Xenopus tropicalis: one gene and its partner. The protein of the gene in region 1 purifies or fractionates together with the protein of each later gene. This does not show direct contact. Links are inferred from orthologs where the notes say so. Each region holds a gene or a part of one and is shown on either strand. Other genes may lie near its edges.

What was found.
Region 2: the proteins of acvr1 (region 1) and tgfbrap1 purify together in Homo sapiens (co-immunoprecipitation; 3 studies listed by BioGRID and IntAct, counting the BioPlex papers as one, with this or other methods). This does not show direct contact. The link is inferred for Xenopus tropicalis from reciprocal best matches to the Homo sapiens genes ACVR1 and TGFBRAP1.

What each region holds. Positions count from the first base shown.
Region 1 is NC_030685.2:73,883,529-73,887,447, reverse strand, and holds the start of acvr1 (activin receptor type-1 precursor), read right to left. Parts: upstream 2,358-3,919; 5' UTR 2,018-2,357; intron 1-2,017. UniProt on the Homo sapiens protein: Bone morphogenetic protein (BMP) type I receptor that is involved in a wide variety of biological processes, including bone, heart, cartilage, nervous, and reproductive system development and regulation.
Region 2 is NC_030678.2:111,665,649-111,669,467, forward strand, and holds part of tgfbrap1 (transforming growth factor-beta receptor-associated protein 1), read right to left. Parts: intron 3,016-3,819; coding exon 2,872-3,015; intron 291-2,871; coding exon 144-290; intron 1-143. UniProt on the Homo sapiens protein: Plays a role in the TGF-beta/activin signaling pathway. It associates with inactive heteromeric TGF-beta and activin receptor complexes, mainly through the type II receptor, and is released upon activation of signaling.

The DNA of each region.
Region 1 (3,919 bases):
GGTTCATAGAGCTCCATCCACCCACACAGATAAACATAGCTGGGAGCACACAGACGGAGAATTCCCGGGAGGAGAGCTGGCTGCATTCCCACAATATGTTTGCATAGCATTACACACTGCACTGGGGCTTTTTTTGTGTGGAGACAATTTGCAGTGTCTGCCCCCCCCACCCCCATTGACAGTCACTAGAGATGGGCCCCTGGATCTCACAAGCAGGGATACGCTATCTGCCATTCCTGAGATAAATCTTATGGGGGGCAATGGGGAGGGGAGCAGATCCCATGCCCAGAGACAGGCTCCTCCTTCCCAAAATAAATCTATTGGGAGATCCCAGCAGGACAACCTTCAGCCTCTGTCCTTATGGCCAACACTCTCCCCTATTCCCACAATTAAGCCAAAAAGGAGATGGGGCAAGTCTCCCCCAATCCCCTAACAAACCAGGGGGCCCCAGCCAGGGAGAGAGCCTCCTCCTAGCAAATTATATTCCATACAGGGATCTCAGAAGGATAATCCAAGTCAGACCCAGGGGCCACTGAAAGCTGCAGGTTGGACAGCTCCAATACAGATGTCTGGGGCCCTACTGAGACTCTCTACTGCCCCACTGAAAAGAACTGCTGCCCTTCTGGGCCCCACAAACAGTAAGGCCTGGGGCAGAATCCCCTACTTGCAACTCTCCCCCCTCATTCTCACACCCATGGGCCAGATAAACACTGTAAGGGTATAGGGCTAAGCTGTAGTTCTGCAACAACTGCATTGGGAAGCGCCTATTGCTAGAGCATGGGAATAATCCGCTACAACTGGCAGCAGGCACAATATTAAGCACACTACTGGCCCCAACTATAGGGGCACACTACTGGCCCCAACTATAGGGGCACACTACTGGCCCCAACTATAGGGCACACTACTGGCCCCAACTATAGGGCACACTACTGGCCCCAACTATAGGGGCACACTACTGGCCCCAACTATAGGGGCACACTACTGGCCCCAACTATAGGGGCACACTACTGGCCCCAACTATAGGGGCACACTACTGGCCCCAACTATAGGGGCACACTACTGGCCCCAACTATAGGGGCACACTACTGGCCCCAACTATAGGGGCACACTACTGGCCCCAACTATAGGGGCACACTACTGGCCCCAACTATAGGGGCACACTACTGGCCCCAACTACAGGGCACACTACTGGCCCCAACTACAGGGCACACTACTGGCCCCAACTATAGGGGCACACTACTGGCCCCAACTATAGGGGCACACTACTGGCCCCAACTATAGGGCACACTACTGGCCCCAACTATAGGGCACACTACTGGCCCCAACTATAGGGGCACACTACTGGCCCCAACTACAGGGCACACTACTGGCCCCACTACAGGGCACACTACTGGCCCCACTACAGGGCACACTATTGGCCCCACTATAGGGCACACTATTGGCCCCACTATAGGGCACACTATTGGCCCCACTAAAGGGCACACTATTGGCCCCACTATAGGGCACACTATTGGCCCCACTATAGGGCACACTATTGGCCCCACTATAGGGCACACTATTGGCCCCACTATAGGGCACACTATTGAGTACACTATAAGGCACACTATTGAGTACACTATAGGGCACACTATTGAGTACACTATAGGGCACACTATTGAGTACACTATAGGGCACACTATTGAGTACACTATAGGGCACACTATTGAGTACACTATAGGGCACACTATTGAGTACACTATAAGGCACACTATTGAGTACACTATAAGGCACACTATCGGGCACACTATTGGCCCCAAGTCGGTAGTTGCAGTTCAGCCAGGACCAGCCTCACTGCTGCAGAACGTCCTGGAATGGCTGAGCTGTCAGTCCCCCAATGTAGTGAAGGCGCAGCGGAACCAGACAAGCTCCATGCAGTCCAAGAGGTTCTGCAGCTGCGGGACAGTGGGCGCTGCTCTCCCCTTGGCCGGGGAAGGCTCAGCCCTAGCTCCCCGTACAGCCCATGGGTCAGATCTCTTACCTCCAGCCGGGGTCGGGCTAGTGCTCTGGAGCGAATGGGGTTTCCGGAGAGGGTCGGGCCGAGGCGAGGTGCTAGCGTTGCGACAAAGCAGCCATAGATCCCCGGTGCAATCAGCGAAGCATTCCGCAGGGCAGGCGGCTTCTCTCCCCAGCAGGCAGCCTCATCTTCCAGGCAGGACACCTCCCCCCGCACCCAGGCAGCGCACCTCCCCCCTTCCCCGCACCGGGGGGACAGATCCGATCTCAGTGCGACAGAAGCGCAGGGCGATATAGTGCGAGTGGGAAGCGGAGAAAGTTGTGCGGGGGGAATGGCCGGCGGCTGAACAGCGCTGAGTCCGGGGCTGCTACTGCGGGAGGAAGTGGCTGGCTGCCCGGGCTCCTCCAATGGGTGTCTGGGGCTGGAATGGAGCGGCGTTAGCACATCATTTCCTCCCCGGCCTGGGAGGGGGGAGGGGAGTATCCAGGGACGGGCGAGGGGTGGGGCGGCCAGGGCAGGTGAGGCACAGGGAGGGGCAGCTGATTGGGGCACTTTGCTCTTCCCTTGGGGGGGCTACAGGCTCCATTTCTATATGAGCGCCTAACAGTGTGTGTGTGTGAGTGTGTGTGTGTGCCACTCACAGCCCATACAGGGGCCGCCGCCGCCGCTGCTGCAGAACCTCTTAGCTGGAGAAATGCTATAAATATTTCAAGAAGTTTTCACATAGTTTGCACCAGGTCCAGTAACCCATAGCAACCAACCCATCAGCCACTTGCATTTTACTGGTCACTTGTTGGAAAGCAAGCATCTGATTGGTTGTGGTGGGACAAAGCATGTATTGGCTACTGTGGCCATAGTGGGTTCCCTGGTGGCAATTTATATATTATGTGCAATTGGAGGGGGGGGGGGTAGCTGTAAAGGAACAAAACTCTGCAACTGCCTGGGGGGATTAGTTGTGGAAATACAGTTTATATCTGTGCAACTATCTATAATGTATCTGATCCCCATTGCAGCAGTCCTGTCCTGCTTTATGGCTGAGATTCTAGCTATCTGTATAACAGGGCATTCTGTCACAGTGGCACCGATCCTATCTGATCCCCCCCATTGTAAGCAGCAGTCCTGCCCTGCTTTATGGCTGAGATTCTAGCTATCTGTATAACAGAGCATTCTGATCCCCCCCATTGTAAGCAGCAGTCCTGCCCTGCTTTATGGCTGAGATTCTAGCTATCTGTATAACAGAGCATTCTGTCACAGTGGCACAGATCCTATCTGATCCCCCCCATTGTAAGCAGCAGTCCTGCCCTGCTTTATGGCTGAGATTCTAGCTATCTGTATAACAGAGCATTCTGATCCCCCCCATTGTAAGCAGCAGTCCTGCCCTGCTTTATGGCTGAGATTCTAGCTATCTGTATAACAGAGCATTCTGTCACAGTGGCACAGATCCTATCTGATCCCCCCATTGTAAGCAGCAGTCCTGCCCTGCTTTATGGCTGAGATTCTAGCTATCTGTATAACAGAGCATTCTGTCACAGTGGCACAGATCCTATCTGATCCCCCCCATTGTAAGCAGCAGTCCTGCCCTGCTTTATGGCTGAGATTCTAGCTATCTGTATAACAGAGCATTTAGACCACAGTGGTCTGAGATCTCCTATTGGCTTGTGAAATACATTTCCCAACATTCCAGCCTAAGCCATTTCCCAGCATTCCAAGCTCCTCTCTCAGTGCTGGGATTTGTAGTTCATAGCAGCCGGAGTGTCAGCAGTTTGGCAAACTCCCCAAACGAGGTGCCCTAATACTGTTCTCCCCGCTCATGTCAGTAAATCCTGTTTAGCACCTTGGCCATCTGTTATCATGGGAGCTGTGCCAGGTTAGACAGCATTCTGGTGCATAGCCCTATACAGTATGTAAGTAACAGGGGGGTGGGAA
Region 2 (3,819 bases), on another chromosome or scaffold:
TAGAGTGTCACTGTTTTCCCAAAAGTCTATGGACATACGAAGCAAAAGCAGTCAATCCCTATACATAAGATATATTAGCACTTTAATTCTTTTGATCAAGGTATGAAGTTGGATGGAACGCAGAGAATAATCAAGAACCTTACCTGTAACATTTTCTCCAGGACTAAATGTTCTAGGAACAAGAGCAAAGCCTTATGGTACTTGCACAAATAGCTCACAATTTTATCTGGACAGAAGCCATTCTGTGTGTATTCTTCAGGAGACCTTTTTGTAAAAATCCGGACACCAACCTGTAGAACCATAAAAGAGTCTCAGTAGTAAAAGACCAGACTGACACTCAAATTCAGAACATAGACATCAACTGCAAGAGACATATATACCACAACGTTCATTTGAGGGGGTAAAAGGCAATGGAATTTCAGCACTCGTTCTTATAAATTTATACTCCACAGTTTTTGAACATTGGTATATTTGCCATATAATTCAATTGAACAGTGAGGAACATAAGTATTTGAACACAGATTTTGCAAGTTCTCCCACTTAAAAATCATGGAGGGGTCTGAAATTCACTTTTTAGGTGCATTCCCACTGTGAGAGACAGCATTTAAAAAAAAAATTCAGGAAATCACATTGTATGATTTTTAAAGAATGTATTTGTATTGCACTGCTGCACATAAGTATTTGAACACCTGGCAATCAGCAAGAATTCTGGCTCTCAAAGACCTTTTACTCTGCCTTTAAAAAGTCCACCTCTACTCCACTCATTAATCTAAATTAGTAGCACTTGTCTGAGCTCTTTAAAGACATTCAGTCAGTCAGTCAGACTCCAACTACTACCATGGGCAAGACCAAAGAACTGTCAAAAGACACCAGAGACAAAATTGTGGACCTCCACAAGACTGGAAAGGGCTACGGGGCAATTGCCAAGCAGCTTGGTGAAAACAGATCAACTGTTGGAGCAATTGTTAGAAAATGGAAGAGGCTAAAGAAGACTGTCAGTTTCCCTAGGACTGGGGCTCCATGCAAGATCTCACCTCGTGGGGTATCACTGATGATAAGAAAGGTGAGGAATCAGCCCAGAACTACAAGGGAGCAGCTGGTCAATGGCATGAAGAGAGCTGGGACCACAGTTTCAAAGGTCACTGTCGGTAGAACACTACAAATCATGCATTGCACGGAAGGTTCCCCTGCTCAAGTCATCACATGTCCAGGCCCGTCTGAAGTTTGCCAATGACCATCTGGATAATCCAGAGGAGGCATGGGAGAAAGTCATGTGGTCAGATGAGACCAAAGTAGAACTTTTTGGTCTAAACTTTGGAGGAAAAATTAGGATGAGTTGCATCCCAAGAACACCATGCCTACTGTGAAGCATGGGGGTGGTAACATCATGCTTTGGGGGTGCTTTTCTGCGAAGGGGACAGGATGACTGCATTGTATTAAGGAGAGGATGAATGGGGCCACGTATTGTGAGATTTTGAGCAACAACCTTCTTCCCTCAGTCAGAGCATTGAAAATGGGTCGTGGCTGGGTCTTTCAACATGACAATGACCCGAAGCACACAGCCAGGATAACCAAGGAGTGGCTCCGTAAGAGGCATATCAAGGTTCTGGAGTGGCCTAGCCAGTTTTGAGACCTAAATCCAATAGAAAATCTTTGGAGGGAGTTGAAACTCCATGTTGCTCAGCGACGACCCTGAAATCTAGAGGAGATCTGTGTGGAGGAGTGGGCCAAAGTCCCTGTTGCAGTGTGTGCAAACCTGGCCAAGAACTACAGGAAACATTTGACCTTTGTAATTGCAAGCAAAGGCTTTTGTACCAAATATTAACACCGATTTTCTCAGGTGTTCAAATACTTGTGTAGCATATGTGTGACCTCCTCTGATGAAGCACCCAATGGTGCGAAACACTTTAGGAGAGTGGGTACCATGAGACACTGGGATGCACCTATCCATTGTTTGGTATAGTATGGCTACTGCTTATTTTTTAATTGTTTGTTTAATTTTGAGCCAATAAATGTTTTGTTTATTTCACTTAAATATATTGTTATTTGTTCATATATTGATTCAGGACCTATCAGTGGGATATAACTTATAGATTCTCTTTTTTAATCTAATTCACTATTATAATTAGCAGTGCAATAAAAATACATTCTTTAAAAATCATACAATGTGATTTCCTGAATTTTTTTTTTAAATGCTGTCTCTCACAGTGGGAATGCACCTACACTGTGAATTTCAGACCCCTCCATGATTTCTAAGTGGGAGAACTTTCAAAATCGGTGTTCAAATACTTATGTTCCTCACTGTATATTTTCCATATAATACAATGTTTAACTTTTGTAGTAATGATGAGTTCTATATACAGTATATTTTTATTATGTTTAGCCTTGGATGTTGAATTGAAATGCTTGGTACTACAGGAGGGGGAACCTTTGTATAAACTGCCAAGTCCTCAGTTACTATGATGCTTCTTCTAGTAAACCAGTGTGGGAAGTAACAAATATTGGGTACAGGTACAGCTGAAGGTACTGGTAGGATTTTATACTTTATACAGCATTTATACCCCGAATCAGTCGTACTGGCTGATACATTATATAGCTTTAAGAAGGGGCTGGATGGATTCTTAGCAAGTGAGGGAATACACGGTTATGGGAGATAGCTCTTAGTACAAGTTGATACAGGGACTGGTCCGATTGCCATCTTGGAGTCAGGAAGGAATTTTTTCCCCTCTGAGGCAAATTAGAGAGGTTTCAGATGGGGTTTTTTGCCTTCCTCTGGATCAACTCTTTTACCAAGATCAATGTCAGAAACATAGCACCCCTGTATTTTCAAATGTTGCCACCCTCCAAGTTCTTGTGAACAAAACCACAAACCTGCTCACTTTTCTGCAAAACCCAGTCTGCATACTGCCAAACAAGATGCTGGTCTCTGGAGAAGGTTAGGAAGTCTACTACGTACTCAAATAGGTCTGGTCGTGTGCTGTCTTCCAGTTCCCCATTAATAATTTTTACCCATATCTGTCAGGATTAACACAAGGTTTGCATTAGATTAAATGTTATAGTGCTTTGATACAAGTTTCCTTTATAAATAACTATAAAGTTTGTAATAATAATACACAAACATGCTTAGTCATCAAAAAAAAGGAAATGATTGGAAGAGTGGTTCCTCAAATTAACATCTCGCTTTGGGTGCTGTGGGACCTGTTATCCAGAATGCTCGGGACCTGGTGTTTTCCGGATAAGGGATCTTTCTGTAATTTGGAACTCCATACCTTAAGTCTGCTACACATCATTTAAATATTGAATAAACCCAATAGAACGGTTTTGCCTCCAATACGGATTAATCATATCTTAGTTGGGATCAGGAACAAGGTACTGTTTTATTATTACAGAGAAAAGGGAAATCATTTTTAAAAATTAGAATTATTTAATTACAATGTAGTCTATGGGCGATGGCCTTTCCGTAATTCTGAAACGTTCTGGATAACGGGTTTCCGGATAAGGGATCCCATACCTGTAATGTGAAAAATTCAACCCACACCCGACACTAATGCACAAAACGTTGCCTTTGTAGGACCCGCATGCTACCAATACCAGCGTCTTTTTGCTCTGTATGCTACTTCTGCATGTGCCTTAGGTTCCTTAGATGTACAATGTGTACAATGTGATCCACACCCAACCCGAACCCACTAAGGTTCCCCTAAATGTTAACCCTAACCCATCTATCTTAAAGGAACAGTAACACCAAAAAATGAAAGTGTATAAAAATAATTAATATATTATGTACTATTGCCCTGCACTGGTAAAAGTTGTGTGTTTGCT